Linked DNA regions of Alligator mississippiensis. The protein of the gene in region 2 interacts with the protein of the main gene of each other region in a pairwise test. Links are inferred from orthologs where the notes say so. Each region holds a gene or a part of one and is shown on either strand. Other genes may lie near its edges.

Evidence for each region.
Region 1: the proteins of EXOSC8 (region 2) and TFAP4 interact in binary tests that used the Homo sapiens proteins (3 or more experiments, as listed by UniProt). The two-hybrid records come from large-scale screens. The link is inferred for Alligator mississippiensis from reciprocal best matches to the Homo sapiens genes EXOSC8 and TFAP4.
Region 3: the proteins of EXOSC8 (region 2) and OTUD4 interact in binary tests that used the Homo sapiens proteins (3 or more experiments, as listed by UniProt). The two-hybrid records come from large-scale screens. The link is inferred for Alligator mississippiensis from reciprocal best matches to the Homo sapiens genes EXOSC8 and OTUD4.
Region 4: the proteins of EXOSC8 (region 2) and DUSP23 interact in binary tests that used the Homo sapiens proteins (3 or more experiments, as listed by UniProt). The two-hybrid records come from large-scale screens. The link is inferred for Alligator mississippiensis from reciprocal best matches to the Homo sapiens genes EXOSC8 and DUSP23.

Annotation. Positions count from the first base shown.
Region 1 is NC_081836.1:24,934,001-24,941,999, reverse strand, and holds the start of TFAP4 (transcription factor AP-4), read left to right. Parts: upstream 1-4,992; 5' UTR 4,993-5,316; coding exon 5,317-5,405; intron 5,406-7,999.
Region 2 is NC_081824.1:420,423,977-420,431,237, reverse strand, and holds the start of EXOSC8 (exosome complex component RRP43), read left to right. Parts: upstream 1-4,253; 5' UTR 4,254-4,322; coding exon 4,323-4,339; intron 4,340-6,642; coding exon 6,643-6,679; intron 6,680-7,261. Other genes in the region: ALG5 (dolichyl-phosphate beta-glucosyltransferase), read right to left, coding at 2,177-2,348, 4,088-4,156. UniProt on the Homo sapiens protein: Non-catalytic component of the RNA exosome complex which has 3'->5' exoribonuclease activity and participates in a multitude of cellular RNA processing and degradation events.
Region 3 is NC_081825.1:101,278,760-101,285,984, reverse strand, and holds the start of OTUD4 (OTU domain-containing protein 4), read right to left. Parts: upstream 3,019-7,225; 5' UTR 2,772-3,018; intron 1-2,771.
Region 4 is NC_081838.1:22,712,377-22,719,681, forward strand, and holds the start of DUSP23 (dual specificity protein phosphatase 23), read right to left. Parts: upstream 3,007-7,305; 5' UTR 2,943-3,006; exon of another isoform or gene 2,589-2,942; intron 2,037-2,588; exon of another isoform or gene 1,909-2,036; intron 1,498-1,908; 5' UTR 1,493-1,497; coding exon 1,223-1,492; intron 1-1,222. Other genes in the region: RNA-directed DNA polymerase from mobile element jockey, read left to right, coding at 5,313-7,305. UniProt on the Homo sapiens protein: Protein phosphatase that mediates dephosphorylation of proteins phosphorylated on Tyr and Ser/Thr residues. In vitro, it can dephosphorylate p44-ERK1 (MAPK3) but not p54 SAPK-beta (MAPK10) in vitro. Able to enhance activation of JNK and p38 (MAPK14).

The DNA.
Region 1 (7,999 bases), on a different chromosome or scaffold from region 2:
GCCTCAGTGGCCAGCTGGCATAGTGAAGACCTGTGCTTGGCAGGAGGCCCGCAGCTCCTCTGGGAGCATAACCTGGCTGCACCCAGCCCTGTTGTCTCCGATTCCTGGACCAGGGTAGTACTGCCCTGCTTCAGCCCTGCAGTTTTTCTGTGACGGCCTTTTGGCTCCACCTCCAGGACCAACAGGATTGTGGTGGTAGGGGGCGAACTTGCTCTGCCATTGCTCTGTCAGACCCATGGTCCTAGCACTGTCCAAGCAGTCCCTGGGGCACTCAAAGGAATCCCCTGACCATTGCTGTGGTGGCTGTATGCAAAAGGATTGAGAAGGTGTGAACACCCTTACCACAAGGACACCCTCAGCGGGTCGCTCCAGGGTGAAGGAAGGGGGTTGGGCTCTCTCCGTCCCCTCTACAGCCACCTCACTCACAGAGGGTCAGAAAGACCCTGGTGCCCCTGTCCCCTCCTGCCACGCCTCACACTAAGGCCAAGGTGGGGGATGCTGTTCAGCCAGTCACTGTTCCCAGGGCTGCTTCTCTCCTGGAGCTGGAACTGGTGCAGGGGCCTTGGCAGGCTGTGCTCCTCCCTGCAGGCAGTGGGCTGTTCAAGAGTGGTCCCCCTGGTCTCTGAACCCCCCCACCCCTATCTCTATCAGCCTGTGGTGACACAGTACTGGGCAACCAGGGGCAGGGCAGCTAGTAACAAAGGACATAGAACCCACCTCTGTGTACACCTCCTAAAGCCAGATGCTTGGCTTGTCTTTTTCCCCTTCCCTCCCCCTCCCCCCAGTGGAGGAACAGAGGAGAGGGGACAAGGGCTTGGAGGTTCAAGCCTCTAGCTCAGGGGTGGGCAAAATGCAGCCCAGGGGCTGGATGCGGCCCGCCAGGCCATTCTATCTGGCCCACGGGGCCCCTAAAAAATTTAGAAAATTAATATTAATCTGCCTTGGGCTGCCTGTCATGCGGCCCTCAATGGCTTACCAAAACTCAGTAAGTGGCCCTCTGCCCAAAATAATTGCCTGCCCCTGGTCTAGCTTGTCCTCCAGAGATACAAGAGATGTGCAACCATACTCCACTGTACTCCAATTTCTGCCCGGTCAACCCTAGAGTACCAGGGGCTCAGCTCAGAAGTGAAAAAGCAAATACAGATAGATGATGCATCCCACCAGGGAAGAACTGGTGGCCTCCCAAGCTTTGCTGTGAGCTGGAAGGGGTCTCATAGCATCCTATTACTCTGGGCTTGCCTTCTAAATATATTTCCCAGGAGACACTATGACTCTCTTGCATGCTAAATAATTTTATTTAACAGAAAATAGGCGCCTTTGGTGATGCTGGTTGTGTTATGCAGCACAGTCTCCTGCTCAACTGAAAACTAGCCACAAATTGAGAAACATTCTGTAACCTTGTGGGGTGGGCTGGTGATTCAAGGGCTGCTGTTGTGGTTTTGTCACCAGGAACCTTCAAGGAACACATTATTTTCACTGATGAAAACTGACACAATTCAGTTGCTGTGAACCCATTTCCACTGAAGGTAATTCTTCAGTAGAACTGGCCAACATTAGAGGTGGAATCCTGAGATACTGGACAATACTTTTGTGATCAGCAGAGGGGGCAAGAAGCTACTTTGTAAATAAAAGCAATTTTCCAGTGTTTAAAAGGAAGTTACTGCTGCTTCCAGGAAAAGGAATTCCCAGCATAGGCAGCTGCAGTGCAAGTTTCTCTTATATTGATCCACCCATGTATGTCTCATCTGTCACCTGGAAGGACTCCTGTCTGTGTCGGGGAGCTCTTTCCTCTGGCTCCACTCAATCCCTGTTCTCCCCCAGAATAAGGTGGCTGGATAGGAGTGGCATGTTTTGGGGTCTTTTTTTTTTTTTAACATCACAGATGTTTGTATGTTAGAAACTGGCCAGTGACCCACCCATCACTTCTATTCAGTGGGCTGCATGAAAAGCCACTAGCACTTTGGTTGCTTACTACCTTGGCTGAACTGATAGCAGAGAAGCTAATAGCAGCCTTCTAGCTAGGCAGCCATGTCAGGAAACCCTTGTTAAATAATTGGGCCAAACCCTGAGATTCCTGCTCACAACACGGCTACAACCTAAACCCCTGCTCAGCGGTTCTTAATTCTCCCTAAAGCAAATTCCCATTGAATCCAATGAGAGCTTCCAGGTCTGCATCTGTAGGATGTTTTAGACATATTGGTACTGTAGTGGTACCATGCCCCACCCAGTACTTCTACCAGCATGTTTCAGACTGGAAGTAAAGCTGATGAGAAGCCATTCTCTAGCCCTCAGTTTCCAGAGTGCTTGAGAGCAGCCACGGAGCAGTCTCCCTGGTACCTGTCCTGGTTTGAGCATTTTGGCAGTAGGTGAGTGAGGTATGCTTGGAGCTGTCCTAATTGGGGCATACACCACAGTGTAGGCATCCCTTACCGTGCCCAAGCATGATACACTGCTCTGGGTAGGCTGCCCCTAAACCAGGAGCAGTGTAGCTACATTGGCCTAGGTGGACTAATAAGCTTGAAGTAGACTAATCTGTATTGTCGGTCATGCAACAACATTAATTAGCTTGCCTCAAATGCTGCAGAAACGTGGCTACTATGCTTCAGATTTAGGAGGCAGCTCATCCAGAACAGTATGCTTAAAGATGCATTAGGATGGTAAGTTTACCATACAGATTCTGTCTTTGACTAGAGGGATTGGAATTTGGGCCCCTGTAAATGTATTGAATTAACAGGTCTGTCAAAGGGATTTGTCTTCATATCTAGTTGCCTTGGCACAAAGCTTTGTTCTCATGTCTATTGTAAATACAATATTAGTTCTAGCTGATACAGTGCTATAAGAATAATAATCTACACAACTGACCGATGTCAGGTACAATCAGAACAGGAAAGTTTTATGAGGTCTATCCTGGGGCTGAGCGGGACAGTAAGGAGCAGTGCGCAGAGCAAGCTCTCTATTTCCTTTTTCCAACAACTTCTGTCCCTGCACTTTTTTCCTTTCTTCTGCATTCTCATCTCCTTACTGTGCTGTTATTTTTGCAATTCTCCCCTCCAGCCTTTCCTGTTCTCTAGTTTGTTCCTTTACAATCTTCGGTTTTCCCTTTTCATTCCTTCTCCCTTCTTTGCTCCTGCCTTTTTTCTCAGTTTGGTGTTTTATAAAGATGGCAAAGGGAAGCAAAACAATTTACAGTCCCGATTCTGCAAAGATGTCCTCATGAACTTAGCCTGATGTTGTAAGGAATCCTGTTTATTTCAATGGGTCCATTCAGACAATGCATAAAGTTAAGCATGTGTGTGTGAACTGCTACTTAGTTAGGGACTATTTGATGGTTTTGCTCCCTCCCCACTTCAAGCATCAACTTCAGGAGAACCTCATCTGTCATAAATATATGTATATGTTCTAGCTCTTGTGGCTGCAGAGAAATAGTTGTAAATGTGACCCCTAGAACCTTAAAAGCCAGAATGCAAATAGACCACAAAAAACAGAGCTGGCAGGAACCTGGAGTCTCTCCAGGGCAACCCCCAGCTCAAGGCAGGAACCCACAGTGTAAGGAATTTATCCCATGATTTGAGGGGCCTTACACATGTTTTTTGAATGTTCAGGGCTGGTGGTGCTCTGTATGAAGTCCTTGTAGGATCTCCGAGTTTTCTCTTGCACATCCAGGTAGAGCTAGATACAAAGGAACAGGATTAGTCAGTTTCTCTTCCACATAAAGCGAGCTGGATGCAATAGGAAACTGAGCAGAATTAGTCAATTTCCCCTTGCCTCTGCTCCCCACCTCTCCCTGCTGCTGGGCTCCACCTGGACCCCCCTCCCCCCACTTCTGCTCCTGCCTTCCAGCTGCTAAACGACAAAGTGAAATTAAACTGCAGTCACTTGGAGGGGGAACCAGCCCCCTGTCAGAAAGTTTCAGCAGCCTCTGCATCACCTGTTCCTCTTCCTTTACTCCCCCTGCCTTTCCTACTCCATGCACAGACCGCAGCAAGTTCCACACAGCTCGATCTAACAGCCACTGAACCCGTTCGCAGGCACTTAACTGTTTGGTCCTGACAGCACTTTTCTATGACTTTGTATCCGTGTAGTAAGGTCTGTGGCTCCCATGGAATAGCTCTATTGCCGTGTCCAGGTTTGGTTTCAGCAACGTTATTTAAAGGGGAAAATGACCTTACTGTAGAAACACATGTACCGGAGCTGGGAAAGGCCCCTTACTGGACTTAGCCTTCACCTAGAAACGGAAGCGCTCCCCAGGCCTCCAACACCATGACCCTAACACCTGCCAGCGCAGCTGTAAACTGGCTTGAAACCCTTTGATTCCCACTGAGACAGAGAGCAATTTGAACCCAGCAATGGGAAGCAGGGGCTGGGCGGCAGGAATCCATGGGCTGCCTGCAGGCCCCCGGACCTGCCGCTTCCGCCCCTGCAGACCAGGGCAGCTTGACGGGCACCTGTCCCTCTCCGAGGGGAAACAGCCTCTTAACCCCGCTCTGTGCCCGGCCTGCTGCTTTCCCCGAAGACGAGCGGCTCCCGCAGTGTTTGGCCCGCAGGTGCTGCCAGGCTCCCCCTCGGGCAGGCCGAGACCCGGCGGGGAGCGGCTGGCCGCTTCCCCGGGCCGGGCGCCTTCTGCATCCTGCCACCCCCGCGGGCTGCGGGCCCGGGCAGCCCCCCGCCGCCCCAGCCACGTGCGGCTCCGCCCGCCCGCCCTTCCCACGTGGGGCCCAGCGGCGCGGCGCGGGTCGGGCCAGTCCTGCCGCAGCGGGGCCCGGGGGTCGCAGCCGGCTCCGCCATGTGCGGGCCCAGCCCAACCCCTCGCGGCGCCCCGCCCCCCCCGCCCCGCGCCCGCTCCCGCTCCCGCTCCGAGCTGTCAGCTGACGGCCGCATCACCCCGTAGTGGCGCAGGGAGCCGGGCGGCCCCGCGGCGGCGGGGGGCGCGGGGGGGCGCGGCGCGGCGCGGGGGGGCGCGGGCGGCGGCGCGGGCGCGGGGGGGCGGCGGGCGGGCGCGGGGGGCGGCGCGGCGGGGCCGGGGCCGCGGCAAATAGTCCTTTGTTTACATGGGCCGGGGCTGGCGGAGGCGGCGCCGCCGGGGGAGGGAGCGCTGCGCTCGCACCAGCTGTTTCCCGCCTTGAGACAGACACACGCCCGCACACACACACACACACACAGACACAGACACACGCGCACATACACGCGCGCGCACACAGACACACACACATACACGCGCGCACACGCACCCACACGGGCCGGGGCTCGGCTCGGCTCGGCTCAGATCAGCTGCGCGCGGCGCGGCCGCCCCGCCGGGCCCCCGCCCGCCCGCCCGGCATGGAGTACTTCATGGTGCCCGCGCAGAAGATGCCCTCGCTGCAGCACTTCAGGAAATCCGAGAAGGAGGTGATCGGCGGGCTCTGCAGGTGGGTGCCCGCCCGCGCCAGGGCCGGTGGGGCAGGGCAGGGCAGGGCAGGGCAGGGCAGGGCAGGGGGCGCGGGGCGGCGGCGGAGGGAGAGCGGGGCGCGGGGAGGCCGGTGGATGGCAGGAGCACGTGGGTCTGTTTGCAGCGCCCGGCCATGCTGCTCCGCTGGCTCCGGCTCCTGCCGCCGCACGCGGCGCCTGCCAGCCCGCCCGCCGCCCCGCGCCGCCCCCCCGAGCGGCACTGCACGGCGCGGCACGGCGCGGCGCGGGGGTCCCGGGCGGGGCCGGGCGGCCGTACAATGCAGCCACGCGGGCGCCGGCGCGGGGCTGCGGGCGGGCGCGGGGGCCGGGCCGGGCGGGGCCGGGCGGGCGCGGGGGGCCCGAGGCGGCGGGGGCCGGGAAGCCGGGGCCGCCCGCGCCGTCCCCGCGCGCTTGGGGAGCTTTAAAGGGGGGTGTGTTTACTCCGGGCCTGGCCGTGACTCTGCAGCCTCCCGCAGGAGGCGGGTCTGGCCGCGCGGCCGCCGGGATATGTAGTGCGGCGCGCGGGCATTGTGGGGGCTGTAGGCGCCGCCGGCCACGCGCCCGGCCGCCAGGCCCCGGCCCCTAGTCTCTTCTCCCCGGCCCGGCCCGGCCCGGCCCGCGGGAGGCGGCGGCGCTGCAGCTCGGGGTGCGGGGCGAGCGCGGCCACGCGGCTGCTCGGGCTGGGCCCTGGGTGCCCCCGTGAGAGGCTCGGATGGGCCGCTACCCCCGGCCAGCCCAGCCCGACCCGTCTCCCGCTCCTCCTGTGCGGAGGCCCCGGCCCGGCCGCTTGCCCGTGCCCGGCAGGTCCTGGTCCTCGGCCGTGGTCGCTAAGGCCGTGGGGAAGAGCGGGGCACGCTCCTGCGTCTCTTGACTGAGTCCCATGGCCGGGCTCTTGTCAGACCTCCAAAAAGTTTGGCCCGGGGGGAACTGCTCGTCAGGCCTTGCTGCAAGCTCGGGGAACAAGGACGGGTCCAGCAGCTCTTCTCTTCCTCACTTTGCAGTTTAGCCACTTCCCAGCTACACCCACACAGGGACTGACTTTTTTGCTTCAGAGGTGGTTGGACTCTTAAACTTGTCTCCTTATTTGCTCATTGAAAGCCTGGGTTCAAAATACTCCAGGTAGTTTGGATCTGCCTCCCCAGTTCATTTGAATGTAATATTCATGAGGATCTTAGTTCTGGTTTTAGCCTCAAGGGACAGTTGCTGGATTTAGCGGAGGCCAGTGCATATGTTACAAAAAGCATCTTCCAAATACACCCTCAATTCTGAGTGCAGCACTGAAAAGTCTCGTCTATGTGCTGTGTGCTGGCTTGAATAGTAGTATCTCCCCTTGGCCTATTTAGATCACCATGGGACAGGTGGTGTGAGAGTGGTGATGATGGTCATCTTTTAGTTAAGCAAATTGGAGAGCTTAGTTTGTGTATATATACGGCCTTGTCTAGGAAGAGTATGCCACCACTGCTGCCACCACCATGTATATTTCTGTGGCTTGTTAATCTGCATGTTTCAGGGAAGCTTAATTTTTTCACTCTCGCAGCCCCTTGGAAAGTTGAAAGTGAAACATTTCTTGGGTTGGCACACCTGGACTCTTCCAGATTAGTTTCTAATTGCTGCTCCTGAATGGTTTCCCATGATTTTTGGTTGCTGGAGGGGGAAAAAAAAATAACTACTTGTTTCAGTAAAAATAAATTCACTACCAGAATGGGCTTTGCAAGCTGGTATGAGAAACAGAGCAAAGTTATGTCAGGTTTTGGGCCACAATCCTCGACAGCGGCTTTGCGCAGAACCTGTCAATGGTACATTAAGACAGATTTTATGGTTGACTTGGTCTTTGCTTTTGCTCAGTGCCTGGAACATCTGCTTGCCACAATATGTCATTAACTTCTGCAAGTGCAGGATGACTTCCTATAGTCTGTTCCTTTGCCCCAGGCTTGCAGGCAGGCTGCATCTGCAAAGCACGCAGGTAAAGGGTCTTAGCACCACAGTTGCTTTCTATAGGAACTTTTGCTTTGTGGCAAGATTGACTCCTGCTTGTGTAAGAACAAATGGCACTGGAGGGAGTGAAACAGTTTCCAAATACCTCCTTGTACAAGTGAATCAAGTCACTTCTACAGCCTGCAAGATGGCCTGTTGCTTAAAGCCTCCTTATTTTCAGTGTCTGGAGACTTGGATGTGTTGATGAAGCGAATCTCTATCAAAGCTGTGTACTTGGAGTGTGGATGTTGCAAGGTTTAACTGACGCTGGCTGGTAAAGAACAGCATTGTACACACCTGTGGGTCCAGATAAAAGCTAAGTCGACCTAAAGAAAAAGCAAATCTTATCTTCTCTTATCTTTTATAGCTGCTTTATTCTGCTGGGTAACCACCCAGTGTTTGTACTCTGCTTGGAAGAGAACTTCATGCTGATTTTATTTTTTCACACCTAACTGAGCCTGGCCTTCCCCATGGCTCTTGACTCCAGGGTAGAATCTCTTAGGACCTTGCTGCATATGCCACTCCCAGGCATGGGATGCTCAAGCTGACTTGCCCAAATTTCTTCTCTCTTGTAATTGAAAGAGGTACCTCAGGCAGATAG
Region 2 (7,261 bases):
CATCCCTCCAGGTCAAATATGACCCATCCACCATCACTTTCTGGGCGTGGCCTGGCCTCTCTCTGGGTGTGCCAATATGCGACCCATCTGACTGTGTAGGCATCAATGCCACAGTCGCCTAGCTTTTTAACGAGAATGGGGTGGAATGACCAAGGTCCTTTTCTGTCTCTGTGCTGACGAGAAGGGAGTTCCCCAGCCTGCTGGTTCTTCCTCCTCAGGTGCAATACCTTGCACTTGTCAGTATTGAAACCCATCCTGTTCTTATCCACCCACCCCTGTAACCTGTCTGTATCTAGTTGCAGCCTGCCCCTCTCCTCCAGCGTGCCCAGAGGATGTTCTTGTCACAGCTGCTTCACAGTATGGTTCTCCAGGAGATGCCCAGAACAGTTGCACTTGGATGTAGTGGCAATCACAGCAGTATCCCAGTTGAGAGCCACTGCCCTAAAGATGGGAGAATCCATTGACATGCTGACAGAGCCCATGATAATTTTATGCTTATGTTAAAAAAAAAAAGTTCTTGTGCTTATTACAGCAAGTTCTTGTGCTTATTACAGTCTTGTCCCCCCCAGACTATTTGCCTTTTTGTCCTAAACTAAGATAAATCAGGTCAATTTATACCCCCTTTATTCCACTCACAAGAATCCCATTCATATCCATAGGAGTCCTTCATAGGGAGGGAAAGTAGAAGAGCATTTTATTTTATTTTGCTGTCTACACATCATTCCTATCTCAATTAATGTGGTGCAAATCAGGAGCAATTCCAATGCAACTAATTGAGAATTTCTTGTGTAAGTAACCAGGAAAATCAAACCTGGGGAAGTTTTCCTAAAATGAGTGGGATAGGAGCTAATGACTGCACTGCTGTCATCTTGTGCTATTGTGGGAAAAGGAAAATGTTAGGAGTTAGTAAACCCCTTACTGAATTGAAGAAGGAGTTACCTGGAAAGCTATGGCAGTACATCTGATTCTCAATCAGGGTGCCACCAAATTAAAAAAAAAAGTTAAGGAGGGGTGTCCTGACTCTCAAAAGATTGAGAACCAATGTCCTAAACAATATTCCAGCATGGTCTTGCCTGATAAATGCTTGCCCAAATAGGAAGATCGTGCAGCACTTCCAGATGTACAGATTTGTGCTTTGGGACACCTCAAGGGAGAGGGAGCTCCAAAGCTGAGGGGCTACTATTGAGAATGACCTCCCACATGCTTTTGCCAAATGAAATAGTCTATAGTTTAGCCCCCTTTACACCAAAAAGACCTTTACATATTAGTGATTTGCATAAGAAATACATAGAACAGGCAGCAATCAAACCTAAAAATGCTTCACAAAATCATTCTTCCTACCATACAGCTCATTTGCTGGCTGAAATCTCAAAAAAGACACACAAATAGTATGTCCAAGCTGCCCCGAGCAAGTCTGCATGGCAGCTGAGAAACAAACCCTCCACACGTGTACCCAAGCCCAGGTTTGCATGTTGTCAAGGCAGATGACTTGGAGCAGGCTTGAGTGTATGCCTCAGCAGAGAGAGGCACAACAATTTGCTGGAGTGCACCTGAAGGAGCAATCCAAGTCCTCTACTAGGCTAATTTGTGGGCCTAGGTTTATGTGGAGTGATGTGGTTTATTTCTCCTCAGTGCACCCAGACTCACTCAGAAGGCTATTTAAGCTCATTTTTATTCTGCTCCATGCTGACTCCAAGGCTATAAACAAACAGTACCTTGATTCTCAGATAAATCATTTTATCCCATGACGAAGTGCAATTGTTCAGACGTCCAAGTCTGTTGTCTCAGGATAAGTCTTAAAAAGGTTCAACGGATAAGAAGTACTGTTTATCCTGGAACACCAAAAAGTGCATCTGAACAGTTACCCTGGGAGTGCATCATTGAACCAATGGAAGAAAAGCTGCAGTGCACTCAGCCACTCATTAAACCCCGATCAGAAGGGTGATACAAGTAAAAGCCAATCCCGGGACACTTCTACTCTGGGACAAACGTAGGCATGACTTGTCCAGGGATACAGACAAGCTACAATTGCTCTCTAGGATGAAATCCCATTGATGTATGCTGTTTCACGAAAACCTGGGAGCAAGGTATGCAAAGCAGCTATATAACCTGCTCTGCAATGCTCTGTTGCTGACAACTGTTTACAACACAGACTTAAGTTTGGGTAGAATCTTACACCGGTCTTCCTCGTTGTATGAAGGCACAACAACAGAGAGCTCCTTTGTAGGTGGGTCATGTATGCTTGGTACAGAGTCCTTCTTGCCTTCAGCATTCACAAAGAACTTCTCCTCTTCATGTCGTTGAAAGCTTGGCATTTTTGTGGCAGTTACATGGGCAGTGATACACACCTGAAGAAAAAAAAAACAAGAAGAGTATTTATGACCAAATGCTTTAGTGACCTATCTACACTTATGGTTTGCATAATGGTATTTGGTAAACATCATGCAAGCTTCTCTCACTAGGTGAAATAAGAGATATGCATAGATGTAACCGTTATACTGGTATTACTCTATAGCCAAGATAAGTGCACCATCTCTCTGCTCTTATGCAAGGATAAACGGAGCTAAGACAATGTAAGGTCAAAGTTGAAAGAAATTAGTTCACTTACAGCGGTACAGAAGTGAACAGACTGAACTGTTAAATTGGAATGGCTGATATGCAATCCTAAGTCTCCCACTTTTGGTTTAAAGTTGCAACTGCCTACAACCAGGGATGAGCAAAGGTGATCCACTGGCAAAAAGTAATCCACAGTCATTCCTATTACAAATAAGGTGGAGTCATCTCTTGAGGAGCCCTCTCCTCTGTTGCCCAGATCAAAGAGGACCTACAGTCCTCATATGGCATTCATGGGTCCCATTTTACGCATACCACATTTGACCTTTGGATTGTAGTAGGTGGCCAACGTAATTTTGAAGTGGAATAGATGCTTTTGACTAAAGGACTGATCTAAGCTCCCACAAACTTGTTACGCTCAATGCTCTGCTGACTGCGAGCTGCACTGTATCTAAACCTTGTTATTATGTGTACTGCCGAAATAGCAGTGTTGCAACCATTATTGTTAGGGTCTAAAATATCAAGATCTTATTCTTGCCTGGGACTGCCTAGGTAAGGTAGACATGATGGTAAACTAGGAAGCAGAGCATAAAAGAACTTGTTTCCCATTTTGTTTAAACAAACTCCATGCATGCACATATGTGCGCATACACAAAGGGCTGCTTAAAAACACCAGGCAACGTGCAACCATTTTCAACACTTTTGTGATTTCATCACCACACACGCATGTATGTGCACAAACACATACTCCGAGTGGAGGAACAGCGCGGTCCACACGCTGGGAGGAGGATGCATGTAGCAACCAGTGATGGTTGATGCTTCAAGCGCTCCACGCCACAAAGCTTCAAAACAAAAGCTGATTTGCCAACGCTGATTTAGCCACATGACCTGTACATGCAGGCTGCTGCTTTGTTTCAACCTCTGTTTTCACATTAGTAAGTGTTACTAAGAGTTTTTACAAGTAAAAGGAGATGTCACAAGTGCACAAAGGGACTAAAAAATAGGTGTGGGGGGCGCATCTTACCAGCCCAGCCATGGGGCTGGGATACACTTTTGCAAGCTTCTGAACATGAAGCATTTTAGCAACAGGGTGCACGGCGCAAGTGAAGCAGCACCATCAGGCTGCCCTTATGCTCTGCTAGAACTTGTCATTGTAGAAAATGTGGGTTGGAGGGACCTCAGGAGGTCACAGCGAGTCCAGCAGGACCAGCCCCAACTGGATCATCCCAACCAAGGCTTCGGGTAACCAGCTCTTAAAATCCTCCAAGGTTTCCAAGCTTCCCAGCCCGCGCAACCTCGGGTCCCTTCTCTCCCGGTACACCTAGCACAGCGGTGCCCCCGCCCCAGCCTGGCCCGCGGGGGGCTCCAGAGGGCAGGGCGGCGGGGCCATATGACGCAGCGCTGGGGCCAGGGCCGTCCCTCCCCCCGGGGGCGCCGGGGGTGGCGCGACGCGGCCTCCCGGCCCCCGCTCCGTGACACAATTTGCGCCAGGCCCTGGCTCATGGCGCAGGCAGCGGGGCCCGGCCACACTCACCAAGCTGAGGGCGGCGGTCGCCAGAAGGCCCAGCGCCGCGGCCGCCACGACTAGCAGCGGCAGTGCCATGGGGCAGTGCCAGCGAGGCGGAAGCAGCTCTGCGAGACCCGGAAGAGAACTGCAGCGGGTAAGGAAAACTTCCGGGGTACAGCCCCAGCGCCGCCAACGGCGCAGGAGTGGGGGGATGACCCCGGATGTACATCCTTAAACCCGGAAGCGGGGCGGAAGTAGCACCATGGCGGCCGGATTCAAGTAAGGTTCTCGTCTATCCCGCGGGCTGCGGCAGGTCTCGCTGCGGCCGCACAGGTCTCGGGGGAAGGGGCTGGTGGAGCTCCCGCCGGCCGGGTCCGTTGGCGGCGGGCAGCCTCCAGCTGCCCGGGTCCCTGCGGCCGAGGCGGGGCGCAGCTTTTCCCAGGTTTTAAGTATGAAACTGTGGTATTACTAGCTCGAAATTATGGTATTTGTTGAAAATTTTTCGTACGCCGAATAATTGTGCAAATGAGAATGCAAAGACGTCTTCTCGCTTGCTGGCTGTTGCTCGCTGCTCGTTGTCAGTGAGTGAGTGAGAGAGACCTGGGCCACCAAAGTTGAAGCATTTATTTTGAGGCAGGCCGTAGTAAGGAAGTGCTGGCAGCAAGGCCAAAAGCGTGGTTAAGACCCTCCGAGGGAGATTTGGGTGTTGTGTATGCGGCATCAATTAACGCCCATAAAAATGATCTTATGTTTTGAACGCTTTTACTCTGATTGATTGTACATTGTATAATAGTTGAAATCATCGCACGAATATGATACTGTACACCAGGCAACACTGCCAGGGTGCGTCCCCTGAGGGAAGCTGCTGCTTCCCCCCCTCCCTTCCATACCTGGTTCAGCCCTGGGGCCGCAGGGCCGTCTCCCCTCCCAGCATCACTGGGAGCTGCCCAAGGGGTCCAGCCTCCACGCCTAGTTCTGAGCCTCCAAGCCTCACTCCTGCCTCCACGTTGCCTTCTTTCATCCCAGGAAACCAGGTGCTGCTTTCTCAGCGGCTGCCTCTGCTGAGGGAGTCTTGTAGCTCTGCTTGAGCAGGGCCCCAGTCCCTTGGAAGCCACCAGCTGGACCTGTGTCACACAGCTGTCAGAGCCTGCAAGGATGTCTCCCTGTCCCTGCTTTGTTCATGTCTCTGGGCAGCTTCATGGGCAGAGTCTGTTGGTTCCTTTGAGGGCCGGTGGGCACTGCCCTAGTGTGCTGTCCCCCCTCCATGTCCCCCTTCAGAGCACTTTTGTTAAACTCATGACCTCGCTCCCATCCCTGTTTTCTCTTTAGTTGTTCCCTAAACTCAGGTTCCCTCCCCTCCACCCCCATCTGTGTCCCATGGTGGCAGCCAGTGGATGCTGAAAGGGAGAGTGAACAGGGGCAGGGTTTTCCCTGTTGTTCCTCTCCTACTTGCAGGCTCCAGCATTTAAGGTTTGGTAAATTCAGATTCTGCTCAAGAGCTGTTGATGCCCCTTTCCTCTGAGTATTTGTCCAGTCCCTTTTGGAATCTGGTTACATGGGCAGCTTCCACAACATGGCATGAGAATTGATCTTTCCTCAGCTGAAGTATTTTGTGAGCTGTAGATCTTGGTGTAGCCAAGAAATAGCTAAGGGGGAAATTTAAAGCAACCAGGACCCTGTCTCAAGTCTTGGGTAGGCTGGAAGGGAGGGATCTGTTTGGAGCAAAAGAAGGTTAGGTCTTGAAGTGCTTGGACAAAGGGTGTGTTTCAAGGAATTTAGCCAAGGGAGGAATTGTACAGCCATCCAGCTTTCTTTCCCCCCCTCCCCTATGTCTCTTGTTCACCCTCAGTGAAGTGGGACATAGATCCTACAGCCTGAGCCAGTGGGAAGTCATACCTGTATTGATGCCAGTTAGGAGCTTCACAGGGTGACTTATTGGGAATTGCCTTTAAACTCGTTTTCCTGATTTGTGATGCCAAAATATGTATACAGAGAAACTAAATTAATTCTCAGGATTACTATACCTGTGGCTGTCTCCAAAAATACATGTTTGAACAAAACCTAAGAAAGCCTTGTACCGAGGTACATTCCTTTCCAGGAAATGCTGTGCTATTTTAATGGCAGTGTTACAGACTGCCATAGCTATTTTCAGGTATAGATTTGCTACTGATGATCATCTCCTTCTCCTCCACCTCTCTCAGTGTTGTTAGTTTGAAGAGATGTCCAATGTAATGGTATAAAATGAATGAATTGTACAAAAGACTGTTCTGTGGGTGATTGACAAAAAGTTCCATGTTTGCCAAACATTATTGTTTCTGAGCCCTTTCTTTTTTTCAGGGCCACCATCTTTCTAGAATCTGAATTCATGTCTCAAATCCATCACAAAAATCATGATAGAGTATTCTAGTATGTTGTTGGGAGTGCTGGCTAGCTTTCTGTCCAAACATAGTCAACAGACAGACAGGACTTGACTGTCAAACTTGGCTAAACCGCAAAGCACTAAGCTTCTTGCTAGGTTTTGACTAGCCAATTCAGTTTTGTGAAACAGCTTTTTCCATAAGAATTTTTCTGTTTTTTTCCAGAACTGTGGAACCTTTGGAGTATTACAGAAGATTTTTGGTGAGTAAAGCATTATACGTGTCTAAATTATGTAGACTGAAATTATTTTTTTCTTTTCTGTTGTTCTCTTTAACCCATATATACACCACAGTAGGGTTTTGGCAAGGTTGCACAACTCAAAAGTTTTCTGAGGGCCATTTGTAAAATACATTTTCCAATGGAAGCTGTCACTGGTAAGATTTGCTTTGATCAGATATAAGCCCTTAGCCATGTGTACAGCCAGGTAACTGGACTTCACATGCAGTCACATGCACACTTGAACAATCTGTTGTACAGGGAGGACAACAGGACTCACTATTAATTTTTCACATCCTTTTTCATTTAGTATAGTGGCTTAATAAAGAATTATGACAAATTACTGGGCTTGATCTGATGGACTATGTTGTACATCCCTACCTTTGGATTGTCCTTCAAACATATAATAGAAGAGATTGTTCAGATTCTTCTATTTTGCGGCTCTTACTCTGCATGCATTTAACTTGATATACAAATAGTACTATGGACTTCAAAGGGAGTCCTGATGTGTGCAAGGTTTAGACGTGTGCTTAAATTAGTACAGGGCATCAGCCTAACTTTGGCTTA
Region 3 (7,225 bases), on a different chromosome or scaffold from region 2:
TGTTACACTATAGAGGCATGTTGCAGAATCATAGACAATGAGAGTTGGAAGGGACCTTAGGAGGCCATCTAGTCTGGCGTTTCTCAACCTGTGGGTCACAAAAATATATGAAAGGGTTGCAAACGCACTTAAAAAATGGATCAACAAACTTTAAAACTGGATTGTCGTTTAAGAGAAAAATGTGATAAGCTGCAGGTTTTCCCTTGCAGGCTGACAGAGTTTCAGCCTGTAAGGGGCTGCTTGGAGGTCCCCCTTGCCTCACAATGGGGGAGCTGGGGCCTGGGGCAGCGGGTCAGGAGTGAGGGCCATCAGCAGGGCTGTGGGTTGTTTTCTACTTAAAACTGGGTACTGGGTCAGGACTGGCCATCAATGTTTACAAATGGGTTTTGGTACGAAAAAGGTTGAGAACAGCTGATCTAGTCCAACCCCCTGCTCAAAGCAGGACTACAACCTCTGAAACCCTGTCTCTGGCAGACTGGGACAACTGACTGCATGTGGTACCTAACTGGTACACTTTTCTGCTCATGTTTCTCAAATAAGTTCTAATATAACTGACTGAAATCTTACTTGGCATTAAAAAAAAAAAAAAAAAAAAGGAAAAACCTTCCCTAAAGAGCAGACCAGAAGCAAGGTAACTTTTTTGAAGTTTGTATTTCTTCTCCCTTGGGATCTCATTATTTGCATATATGGTAAGCTGAGTTTTAAACTGAGTACTGTATCATTACCCTACAATTTAAACAATTAGTTTTTGTTGCTCCATTGCTGTGTTTTTACTTGGTGCAAACCCACTAATCTTTCCATGTCACAATGATCTACATCCCTATTTGAATACCTGGGGTGCATAAGGCCTAGCAAATTAAAGTGGCCAAGTCAAAAAAATCCTTGTTAATGACATAATTGAATCTACATTCTTCTAAACAAGGGTGCCCTACCCCCCTAATAGACTTACACATTTCTTTTCACTTGTTTTTGACCCCTTTGTACCCAACAGGATCCTAAATGCTTGTTTTAAAGTTGGTGTCAGCCATCTGCAGCCCTCTGACTGGGAAGCTGAAAACCAGCATATGGGGTAGCAGTAACAGAGCCTTCCACAGGGGTGTTCAGGACTCCCCCAACCCTTACCCCCTTTTGCTGCAATAAGTACATCATACATTCCTCCTCCCAGATACTTTGATCCCAGGAGTTCAGTCCAAACCACAATAATCAGCATGCAAGAGAAGCGATTTGGAGGGATAGTTTCACAGGTGTGGAGATGCACAGGCCAGTAACATGGACTTCTTTTTGTCACCTGGGTCATGCTGGCAGCCCTAAGCTCTTCCCATTGCTTTTTCACCCTGTCACAAAGTCTAGAGACTAAAACCAGATAGTCTGCATAGGGAATTGAATGTAACACAGCACTTTTTACAGGTAATGGTATTAACACCATTCGTTTCTTAGCCGGGCCCCCAACGGCTTAAGTCATTGTACTTGGATTTTCCACACAGCTTTTAAGTGGGATACAACTGATGACACCTAATGCTAATAGGGCGACCCCATAGCAATAACAGCAAACAATGGTCACAGGTCATGACTCAAGTTTCCCTGCTTCTTACCGAATTGGTCAAGAGCTCCTTATCTCAGGGGAATGGATGGGAATACAGGTATTTGAACTTGAACTCTATAACACCCCCTCCCTCCCTCCCCTATTTTCAGCCCCTTGTGAGCTAAGTAAGCTGCACTGGTCTGATACTAGAGCCAAGCTGGATTTAAAATGGCACTGTGTAGTGGAGTGTGCACCCTGCAGGGTCCAAATGCAGACAAGACTCCCTATGAGAGTCTCACTGGCCAGCTTCCAGTGGGAGGATCTTGGCTACACACCAATTTTATGGAAATGGGGGGGATCCTCCCTAGCTTGCTCCTGGGGCTGTTGGCTGATGGCAAGCGAAACTTGGGGGCATCCAAACCCCAAGCCTCCAGGCTTTGGCAGGCATCTTGTATGCAGGCCCATGGATTTGGAAGCATCTGAAGCCCCCAGCTGAAAAGACTGGGGTGGAAGATACTTGCCAGTAGAAGGGCCGCATACGTTTTTTCAACCATTTAAAGGATTGTAAACTGATCTGGCTAATTTGACCTGCAACACACAAAAATTCTCAAAAAAAAGCCAGATGGGCAGAGGTGGGGGAGCCTGGAACTCGCCTCCAGCCACGGCAGCAGCTTCTGAGGGGCCCCGAGACCTCGCCACCCACCCAGTAATAAGCCTGTCTGGGTATCCTCCACTGTGCGAAGCCACTCTGCGCTGCTGACCCAGCCTGCCTGGCAGGGTTTCAGAAGCAACCCAGCTGGACTATAGGCTTGCTAAACCTGGCCAAGCCGTGCTGTAACCCCAACGCCAGCAAGCAGCTAAAAAAAGTGCTTTTTAGATCAAGTCTAAAAAAAGGTCCCTTGACATCCTTATTTCAGGCCCCAGTGCTACTGCCCCAATGCAGCGTCCTGCAGCTAGCAACAACTTGCTTTGGCTTCTGTCCAGCCCCAGCGGCTTCGGGGTGGCGCATGTGCACTGCTCCCGGCCGCTTCCATGAGGGGGGTAACCCCCCACCGCCTGCAGAGCGGCCCCTCAATTCTTACCGCCTCCCCCTACAGCGGGTGCGACTGCATCATGAACCCAGACCGCTGGGACGCGACCAAGAACGCCTCGTGCCGCCTCCCCCACCCCGCGTGCCCCACGCTCGGCAGTCCGGGGGGCCGTTGTCATGGATGATGCCGCCCTCCCCACCTCCGGGAGTGGCACTTACCAAGGCCTGGGCAGGCCCGGAGCCACAAGGGCTCCGCCTCCTCCGCTTCCCAATGGCCCCGGCGGCTGCGGTGCAGACGCTTCAATATCCCACGGAGGCTGCTCAGCCTGCGTCGCCTTCCTATGATGCTAATGTGCCCTCTCTGTCTGCGCTCGTGGTTTGTCCTACCGGCCACACCTGAGCAGGGCACCTGTGGCTTGTACCATGTGTGAAGGGGGGGAGGGAGGAAGAATCGGGCGACACTACTAAGGCATAACTAACGTGCGAGAAATTGTCAGTCCCACAAAAAGCGGAAGCGAGGCTGGGGAATAAGCTGATGCACGCCCTCCCTCCCACGCCGCCAACCCGGAATCAGAGAATGGTACAGTCCAGGGACACCGTTCTTGCCTCAGGGCAGAAACAAGGTGCTCTGGCAGGGGGCGGGGCCAGAACCAGGGGGCGGAATCAGGCTGCTCTGGAACCCAGGTGGCCGCACTCCCTTCTGCCTCTCCACACACGCGTTCTGGCCAATGGGATGGGAGCTGCTTAGAGCCCTGGCGCTGCGCTGCCTGGCACAGCCCACACGTGTGTGGGCGAGTATCCCGCATCAGGTGTGGCCTAGATCTGGGCGCTTAGATCTAGCAACACGTAAGAACAGCCTTTCACTAGGGCAGACCATAGGTCTATCTGGCTCAGTCCTGTAGCCCTGGATGCGGATGCGGAGTGAACTGGGCGTGATACAGGGTTCCCGCCCCTGCCCACTTTCTTTCTTGCGTGCAGCCTCCAGCATTTAGGGTTTGAGAAGTTATGATTCAAGGCCTGTGCCACTAACTCCCCTGCTCCACCACTAGTGCTGCCCCTTTCCTCCCAAGACTTTGTACAACCCCTTTTTTTGAAGCTGGCCAAACTCAGCTTCCACATCTGGTAGCAACGAGTTCTACCCATCAAGGAGAAGCAGTGTGAAAACTTCCTTATGCTTTTTTTTCAAACTTACTACCTACTAGTTTTCCTGTTGTGACCCCCCTTGTTCTTGACTTGTGAGAGGGAGTAAATAATAAATCCCTATCTACTTTATCTTCCTGTTTAATATTTGGAAGGCCCTTGTTGTGCCCCCTGAACCATCTCTTTTTCTAAACTGAATAGGTGTAGCCTGGCCTGCAGGAGCCCCCGCAGCCAGAACAGATCTAAAAATGTGGGGGGTGGGGAGAATGTGGCAGTAGTTGCCATTGTTGTGCTACCAAATGGCCAGACCTGTGGGGAGCCCCATGGGCAGTGCCAGATTATGACATGCTGAGGCTCTAAACTATGTCGTTTAAGAGGCTCCATAAGATAAAAATAATCCACAAAATCCACGAAAATGGGTTTTCATGAAATTTTAAGATGCAATATTATTATTTCTGCACACATTTATGAACTCAATATGAATAATAACTGTGGAGCCATATATATGTATATTTTTGTCATATTAGAATGAAAATGTCCAGATTTTTTTTTCTTATTTAGAGGCCCTTCATATTGTGAGGCCCTAAACTGTATCTTAAGTAGTTTAAGCCTAAATCTGGCACTGTCTGCAGGCTGGGTGGGCATGCAGAGACCAGCTGGAGGCAGTGCAGGGGCTCAGTCCTCCAGTGCAAGGCTGAGCAGAGTCAGAGTGGACCCCAGGGAAGCAGTACAGGGCCCAGTCCAGCACAAAGGATCCGTGCCACTCATCTGGCCCCTGGCACCAAAAGGTTTAACACCACTGGTTATTATTAAACTTCTTCCAAAAAAGGGTGTCTCCAAAAAAAACATTGAATCTGAATCAGTTTTTCAGCCAAATACTTCTGCCATTTCAGAAGACAAGATGAGGCAAAAACAACCTTGCTACCCTCCCCCTCCCCCCCAAAAAATGTTAGCTGAGGTTTTACAGTTATCTTTGGAAGTGTCTCTATGCTACAGAGCAAGGGCTTGAGAGCTAGCAGACAACCTTTTCCATGTTGTAAAGGATGAGTCTTTTCCTGTTCCAATAGGGCAACCTGTTCAGATTTGGTCAAGTTATCAGCCTTAAAAATAATGTGTCGGGGAGGCTCACTGTTCAGTAAAGATTTGCTGGAGTTTGGCAGCTATAGGCTGCAAAGGCTCCATGCTTAGGGATGAGCAAAACTTTTTTCTGTAATTGCTGCAGGCTTACTGTTAACCCAGGCCCAGACACTTGGGAGTCATCCAACTTATCCTTGCACTCAAGGATCACTGGAGAAGTAGCAGTCTGATAAGAAGACAGTGGGAATGAGAGCTGATGGCCATGGGCTCTGGAGGGAGTGAAGCGGGACAAGGAGTTGGAGTTGGGAAGAAATGTTGACTTCTTTTTAACATAGGTTTTGAAAGTTATTATACAAAGAGGTAGCACACTGAATACACTGTCCAATTTTGGTCATCCAGTCTCCAAAAGAGAATAACAGAAACAAAGGAGCTTAGTTAAAAGTTTCTTTAAATCTGTAGGTAGAAGTTAGGGAGGACTAAGCTAGGTTACATTCTAGGAAAGAAATCAAAATGTAAAGATAATACTATTGTCTTTATTCTAGCAAAGTTTCTTTTCATGAGTTGTTTATTTTGCCTTTTTTAATAATAAGTATAAAAGATCTAAAACAGGGCAATGAAAATAATTCTAAACTGAAGACATTTCCTTCACAAAGAGATATTTGAGCAGACGGGACAACTAGATCTGTTTTAGCTGACAGGAGACAAATATGCAGTAACATATTATAATAAAAAGGCTTCAGTTGAGCAGACTTATTTTCTCATTTTCTCAGAATGTAAGAATAATGAACCATACATTTAAAAAGCCAAGACCTCAAAACCAATAAAGGTTTATTATTATTCAAATGTGTATTTAACTTGTGAATTCACTGTCATCTGATATTATGGACCTCTGTTTAATGGAAACCAAAACAAGAATTGGGCATTTTATATAAGCATTTAAATTAGTTAGGATAACTCTAATAACCGTCATGAAGGCTCATACTTTAGGATATATTTAGTAAATCAACCACTGGCAGTATGGGATTGAGAAGAAAAACTCATTTTAGGCCAGTTACATGCAAACATATTCTGTAGGAGGGCTTCATCTTCATCTGGCCATTTGTTTGGAGACAGAAGAATGGCCTCTAGATCAGGGTGGCCAACCTGCAGCACAGGTGGCATAAGTGGCCCAGGCAGCCTGTGTGTGTGACACACAGCAAATCAGGGAGAGGACAGGCAGCACAGCGGCAGATAGGACACAAAGCAGAAAGCAAAGCAGCAAATTGAGCAGGGAGTACAGGGAAGGAAAGGAAGAAGCAAGCAGATGAGGCAGGGAGCATACAGCTGGAAGCAGAAAGCAGAGCAGCAGAACAGACAGAAGAATGGGATCAGCGTGGCACTTGGTGAGAGGGTGGAGCTAATTTGTGGCACACCTGTCAAAACGGTTGCCCTGCTACCTGCTCTAGACCATTATTTTGATACGTTCTGATTCAGTACTGCAATTCTTAACTACATGGAGTAGTACTTTTCATCAGGGGTTGGCAACTTGTAACCCACAGGCCAGATCTGGAGTTGACGTGGACATTCAGCAGTGGGGGGCTTTGAATATAGGCATTTTCCTTACTGCTGTGGGCAGAAGCACTGATTGTGGACAAGTCCTTGTTCCTGCCCACCTCAAACCAGAGGTGAATCATTCCATCCTGCAGCCAGAAAAGGTTGCCTACTGCAGCTTTACATCACAAGTTGTTCTTCTGAAGTCAGTGGAAGAAGCTGCAGGGAGAGATACATCCCAATAAGAGTTTGGCTATCACAATCTGGTGTTCAGATTCTAAGAGACTGACAGTGGTTTGCTTTGGCAAGCAAGGGTGGTTCCAAGCTTCTTTCTCCCGTATCTGAATTGTCTACTCAAAGCCATAGGTGTAATTCTCTCTTGTTAATACTGCCCTTCAAAAGATTAATACATACTGTTCGCTGATTTTCTTGCTTGTAGCAGATAATTAGAATTTCTTACTCTGGGTCAGTTCATGCTGACATACAGATCTGCTGCTGAAAACCAGCAGTTTTTCTTCCCACACACAACCTTTGAACAGGTATACAACAAATTATTAAAACTATTTGCGCTAAGTAAACCAAGCTGCAGCATAAAGTGCTGGGAAAGATGCATCTTTTTCTAACAGTTTAAAGCAGGGGCTGGCAACCTTTTACAACCTGTAGGCCAGAACAACCCAGCTTTGGGCCAGCACAGGCCAGCTGTCCAGCAGGAGGCAGGGAGCACTTTCCCCACACCAGGGCCAGGAATTGTGCATGGTTCTCCAAACCCCCACTCCCACACCACAGCTTGGGGGGGATCTGCGGAAAGGGGCAGCAGCATGGATACAGTTTGCGCACGCCTAGCCCTGACCCAGCTGAAAGCTGCATCTGCACTGCAGGGAAGAAACAGAGCTGGGGAAAGCATGGGTATAGCTGCTTGGCCTTGG
Region 4 (7,305 bases), on a different chromosome or scaffold from region 2:
TTGCCAGGCGCTGGTGGCCCCTGTAAATTCACTGCCTCACACTGGCCCTGGCCCCACACTGCCCAGGGGGGCCTGGAACGGGGCCAGCCTCAGCTGTACTGCCGGGTCAGAGAGGATGGAGCCCACGGGACTCCCGTGCCTGCCCCACATCGTCCCTGGGAAGAGTGACTCATCCAGGGGTACAACACTGGGCAGCCAAGGGAGACCCATTGTCCCCTGATTTTTGCATGGGGCACTGTTGGGCTACAGCTGCGAGCTGCGCCTTGCCTGCTCCACACCTCGCTGCTGCCTTTGAAAGCAACATGGTTCCATGCAAGTCCCACTGCTGGGCGGGCCGGGCAGCGAGGCACAGGGCGCCAAGCCACACCACTTTCAAAGGCAGTAGTGAGACATGGAGCAGGCAGAGCGCAGCTTGTAGCTGTAGCCCGCTGGTGCCCTGTGCAAAGATCAGGGGGCCACAAGCCCCACTTGGCTGCCCAGTGCTGTGCCCCTGGCGGTGCCACCAGGCTCGTTGTCCCATGACCCGACCCAGCCAGGACCCCATTCACTGTGAACGTAGCTCCAGCCAGGCTGGGCTGTGGGACAATGAGATCCCAGCGGGTCGTCCAGGGGCACAGCGTGGGGAAGCCAAAGGGGAAATGTGCCCCAACTCCCCTCCTATGCACACGGCAGCAGGGAGCTGGCCCTCCCCCTCCCCTGGACAAACTACCTGCAGCCCCGTCCTGCTCCCCTCTGGGGCCCTGCAGCCGCACACTGAGGCCCCAGACCCAAGGCCCACCTGGCTGGGCAGCAGCCTGCCCTGCTCCCTTCCTACAGGAGCCTCAATCCCCCTCTCCCCCACTTACCTGATGCAGCTGCTCTGAAGACTGCCCGAGGCCACTGCATGTTTTTGCACATGGCGCCCTGTCTTCCGCCTTCCTCCTAACAGCTTTTTACCCAGGCTGGGGCATCAATACAAGTGCCCCGCTGCCCACTTAAACAAGTAGCTGATTTTAATTATTCAAATTGGTCAAGTGTTTCCACTACGCATGCACCATTGGGGCAGTAAGGAGATCGCCCCAAGGTCCCTTATTGTGCATATGCAGAGTGGACAGGAACAGCCTACATAATCATGACATGATAGGTCATGTTGTTTTGAAACTGGTGGGGCAGCGCCTGAGCACCCGCCCTGCTGCCTGGCAGGCCGCCTGTGCATGTGTGCGAGGCCCTGGCTGGGACGCACCTCCCCCTTGGCGTTGGCGTCCTCCACGATCTGCAGGAAACGCTGGATCTGCTCCACGGATGGGGGGCAGAAGTCAGGGATGCGGAGGCGATGGACCTGGATGCCAGGGCAGGTGTCGTGGTAGGGTGGGCTGCGCTCGCTCAACGACACCAGGTGTCGGATGCCGTGCTCATGCATGTACTGGTAGTGTGCAGGCAGTCGCGGCATTGCCAGCCCTGCCAGCTTGTCGGGCACCACCCAGGAGAAGTTTGGAGGGACGGCTGATGCCATCACAGCTGCAGCAAGAGAGAAGCAAGTGAGCGAGCTGCCCAGCACACACTTTCTGCAGGTCCTCCCACCACAGTCCTAGCCTAGCTCCCACCAGGCCCCTCTGCCCCAGGGCTCTGCCACGATCCCCATTCCCTGGCTCCTGTATCACAACCCAGTGGCTCCAACTCCCGCTGCTTCCTGCTGGGGTGGAGAGGATGGTGGCACCTACTCCATGCCATGCATACTGCATCCCCACACTGCCTGGCCAAGGGGTTGGCCCAGCAGCTCCCTGTAGGCTGGGAAGGGGCAGAGGAGTTGGTTAGGGCCCCTCGAGACATGTACCCCATCCTGCCCTGCCCTGTCCCAAAGCCGCACAGCCTGGCTCCTTCCTCCCAGAGTGGCAGCATCAGCTGCCACAGCCCAGCCTGCAAACCCACTGTGCAACCTGCTGCCACGACATCCACTGCAACGTCTGCACGACAGCAGGACTGGGAGGTAGAGATGCAGAAACACTGCGACTGATGACAGCAGCAAGGAGAGCTGGAAAACGGGCTGGCGCCCACTTCTGCACTGCCAGGAATGGAGCTGGTCAGTCCCAGCCCAGGGCCACAGCCACAGGGAAAAGGCCCAGCAGCACAACCAGCCCGACGCAGCCCCTGCAGAGATCTCTGGCTGGGCCCAAGATAGCCACAGATACCCAAGTCATCCCTGAGTCTCCAGCCTCACTCTCGGCAAACGGCCTGGAGCCGACAGCAGCCACAACCAGACTCCCACAGTACCCCTCCGCCCCATGGACGTCCCTTCCCTGGAGCGCGGAGGTCGCTGTGGACCCTGATCTACACTGAGCCGTGCAGCTGAGGGCAGATGAGCCTCCCACGCCAGGGCTGCGGCATCCTGGCCTAGTGGCACGAGGGCCATCGCACCCCTGGAAGGCAGAGGAGGGACAGGGCGCACTGCAGCTGCCCCACGCGGGCAGGCCCAGCCTGGTCAGCCACGGGCACCTGCAGCTCCCACCGAGGGCGGCGCAGATTCCCCCTCCGCTGGGGACGCGGCAGGCTTGGGGCAGCCCGTGCCACCCCACCCCACCCGCCTGTGCCCGGCAGCCAGCGGGCCTCACCCAGCGAAGCGCTTCTCCCCGGGGAGCTGGCGGCTGGGCTTTCACCGCGCGCTAGCCACTGCCCGAGCCGGGAAACGACTTGTCTTCAAAAGGGGGCTAGACAGACACCTGGCCCGGGTCGCTTGACCCCGCGCTCTTCCCTGCCACGGCAGAGGGTCGCACTTGACCTGCTCAGGAAACGCAGTTCCGCTCCCGCCCCCGAGCTCGGCCCGCCCCGCCCCGCCCCGCCCCGCCCCGCCGGGGCGCTCGGGGACCCGCCGCAACGTAAGGCCGGAGTGTTGCCTCCGGAGTGAGCCTCTAGCAGAGCTCCCGGGACGTGGCGGCAGCGTGTCCCGGGGGGTCAAAGGGACGTACTCGGCACGTCTGCACAGAGGAAGCGGAAGCTGGAAAAGGCAGGAGGCTTTTGTGCGCTCGCTCTTTGTGGTGGGAGGGGAGCAGGACAGGACGTTTGTTGGGCCGTGACGTTTATCCTCCCAAATCGGCCACAGTTCGGCCTGTTCCGTGTGTCAGGGGGGTTGTGGTAGGTGTATGTGTATGTGTTTCTTTATTTTTATATATGGAAATATATCTATGTTCTCCACAAAAAAAAAACCAGCCTCCCAAGACCACGGCCTGTCACTGCAGTCTGCCCTTCCCGAGGGCCACTCGGGCGCTGTTCTGCCAGGTCTCTAGGTGAAGGCACTGTGCAAATCCCTGCGGCAGGTGGCAGTCGGGCTCCAGTTCCCAGTACCTTCTAGTTCTTACTGTTTTGCTGAAACGGGTCCTGGCTCTCGTCCTAGCCGCCCTGGGCGAGTCCTCTTGTCCCCGGACAGGACGGCTGATGCTCTGTGAGCCGCGTGTCTGGAGTAGTACAAAGCTGTAGCTGTGACGCTGACCCTGCACATCCCTTCTCAGCGCGCGCAGGGCAGTGCATGGGGGCCCGGCAGGCTCCTCAAACCCAAGCTTTGGCTGCAGAAGTTCTCAGTATTTTGGCATAGTTAAGAATGGCCTTTTGGCTCACATCAAGTGTAGTCCTTGTTCAGGCAGGGGAGATGCCAGGATCACCTTGAATGCTGTTGTGTAGTTAAGAACGGAGACGTGTCCAGTGCACTGGGCACAACCTGCCCTACGAGAGTCTACTGTAGCCGCCCGACGGCAAGAACTCCGCTATGCACTTTATTTTTATGGAGATGGGAGATTTCTCCATAGCTTGCTCCTTTGACTTTTTGGCTCAGGACAAGCAAGACTCAGGGGCATCTGAACCCCAAGGCGTGTAGGATGCTGCCACAGATCTGGAGGTGTTTGAAGGGTCTGGGCAGGAGGAAACTTGCCAGTGGTTGAACCATGCAGACCTCAACGATGGAGCCTTGCTTAGTCAATAGAATTCGAAACTGATTTGGAAACGTAATTAAAAAAATTTAATAAAAAAAGAAGACAACCTCAGCTAGGAGCTGCTTGGCCTTTTGGCTAAGAGCAAGCAAGGCAGGGGGTGCACGTAGGATGCCTGCCTGGAGTATCCAAAGCCCCAGACGGATGGGTCTGGGAGGGAGGATACTTGCCTGGAGGTAAACCACATGGGCATGACAACTGAGTTCTGCTCAGTCAAATTTTGGAACTTGGGCTTTGTCCAATAGAATTGGAACTGATTTGGCCTTGATAAGGATTTTTTTTTTGGTAAAAATATATGTCCATATATATATATATATATATATATATATATATCCTTTCCCAGCAGGACCAGGCACCTAAGGAAGAAGCAGCCCGGGGAATGCCCTCCACAGCAGAGTGGCAGACGGTCACATCCAGGACCGGAGCTGCTCACAGCGAACAGGTACCAGTCCCTCTAGTCCAACTGGAGAACAGGTACGAGGCCCTGGTGACCCTGCAGGAGATGGAAGGAGAGGAGGAAACCCTTGGGCAGGAAGAAACACCACATTCTTCACACTCCCAACAGGTCAAGAGATCCAAGAGGACCCAGAGGAGGAGGCGACGAGTGCTCGTCATAGGCAACTCCATCCTGAGAGGTACGGAAGGGCCCATCTGTCGCCAGGACCCCTCAACACGAGAGGTATACTGCCTGCCTGGAGCAAAGATTCGGGATGTGACGGAGGTAATCCAGGCCAGGATCAAGCCCACCGATTACTACCCCATGGTCCTAGTCCACGTGGGTACTAATGATGCGGCCAGGAGAACCCCTGATCACCTGATGGCGGACTACCATGCTCTGGGCAGCGTGCTGAGGGGTTTCGGTGCACAGGTGGTGTTCTCTTCCATCCTACCAGTGAACGGACGCGGAAGACGGCAGGAGAACTGCATCCGAGAGACCAACTGGCGGCTTCGGCAGTGGTGTCTCGAGGCAGGCTTCGGCTTCCTGGACAATGACCCGCACATCACGACGAGGGACATGCTCAGTTGGGATGGGCTTCACCTGTCCCCCAAAGGTAAGCGTGTGTTTTCTACTAAGTTGGCGGATCTCCTCCAGCAGGCTTTAAACTAGGCTCACCGGGGGAAAGGGAAGATGAGGGCGGGGGAAGCTGTGGACCACCAAACCATGTGGCACCCACAAGGACAGCCCAGCCTGAAGAAAGAGAACATTGGGAACCTGCAAGCCGCAGGGCGGCCAGCACTACGGCACAGGTAAGAAACTAGAAGGTAAGAAATAAGGGGCCCCTTGGGACTCGGAGCGGGGGGGCAGCAAAGGCACCTGTCGCAGGGCTCAAGTGCCTATATACGAATGCTAGGAGCATGGGAAACAAGCAGGATGAACTAGCGCTCCTGCTTGCACAACACACCTATGACTTAGTGGGGCTAACAGAGACCTGGTGGGATTCATCCCACGACTGGGCGGTACATATTGAGGGTTACAGATTGTATAGAAAGGACAGGGTGGGGAAAAAAGGGGGAGGGGTTGCACTCTATGTCAATGAGCAATATACATCGACCCTCATCAAGACAGAATCCGAGGTTGAGGAAGTAGAAGGATTGTGGGTTAGGCTACATGGGGGGCAAAGGGAAAGGGATTTGGTGGTAGGGGTCTGCTACAGACCCTCACATCAAGGGGAAGAAAGAGATTCGGGGCTCCTGAGGCAGCTCTCAGAGACCATAAAAGCTAAAGAGGCAGTAGTCATGGGGGACCTAAACTACCCGGACATCTGCTGGGAGACGCAGACGGCAAAGTCCCACCGCTCACGCAGGTTTCTAACCTGTGTACAGGACCCCCACCTGACACAGGACATACATGGTCCCACTAGGGGGAATGCCATACTGGATCTGGTATTGGCAACGGGGGATGACATGGTAGGGGACCTACAGATCAGTAGCCAGCTGGGGGACAGTGATCACCTAATAATAGAATTCACCATAAGACGTCGAGTGGGTAAGGTAACTAGTAGGGTGAAAGTGCTAGACTTCAGGAAAGCTGATTTAAATGAACTCAGGCGATTAGTCAAGGACGCACTGCGGAGTAGGAGTTTTGAAGGGATGGGAGCCCAAGAAGGGTGGCTGTGCCTTAAGGAAATGATCCTTCGGGCACAAAGCGAGACGATCCCCGTGCGAGGTAAAAGAGGGAAAGGGGCCAGGAGGCTTTCCTGGCTGACCAGAGAAATCCAGGGCAGCCTAAGGGCCAAAAGGGGAGCACATAAAAAGTGGAAACAGGGAGAGATCACTAAAGATGAATATACCTCCTCTGCTCGTGCTTGTAGGGAGGCAGTTAGACAAGCCAAAGCTACCATGGAGCTGAGGATGGCAACCCAAATAAAAGACAACAAGAAATTGTTTTTTAGATATATAGGGAGTAAAAGGAAGGCCCAGGGAGGAATAGGACCCCTGCTAAATGGGCAGAAACAATTGGCGATGGACAGGAGGGACAAGGCTGAACTCCTCGACGAGTTCTTTGCCTCAGTGTTCCTAAGTGAGGGGCAAGACAAGTCTCTCACTGGGGTTGTAGAGAGGCAGCAGCAAGGCGCCAGACTTCCATGCGTAGACCCTGAGACGGTGCAGAGTCACTTGGAAGAATTGGGTGCCTTTAAGTCGGCAGGCCCGGATGAGCTCCATCCGAGGGTGCTGAAGGCACTGGCCGACATTGCAGAGCCACTGGCGGGAATATTTGAACGCTCGTGGCGCACGGGCCAAGTCCCGGAGGACTGGAAAAGGGCCAATGTGGTCCCTATTTTCAAGAAGGGGAGGAAGGAGGACCTGGGCAACTATAGACCTGTCAGTCTCACCTCCATCCATGGCAAAGTCTTTGAAAAAATTATCAAGGCTCAATATTGCCAGAGCCCGGCAGGACAAATTATGCTGAGGGGAAACCAGCACGGGTTCGTGGCAGGCAGATCGTGCCTGACCAATCTAGTCTCTTTTTATGACCGGGTTATGAAACGCCTGGACACAGGAGGAGGGGTGGATGTCATATACTTAGACTTCAGGAAGGCCTTCGATACGGTATCCCATCCCATACTGGTGAACAAGTTAAGAGGCTGTGACTTGGATGCCTACACAGTCCGGTGGGTGGCGAATTGGCTGGAGGGTCGCACCCAGAGAGTCGTGGTGGATGGGTCGGTCTCGACCTGGAAGGGTGTGGGCAGTGGGGTCCCGCAGGGCTCGGTCCTTGGACCGATACTCTTTAATGTCTTCATCAGCGACTTGGACGAGGGAGTGAAGTGTACTCCGTCCAAGTTTGCAGATGACACAAAGCTATGGGGAGAAGTGGACACGCTGGAGGGCAGGGAACAGCTGCAAG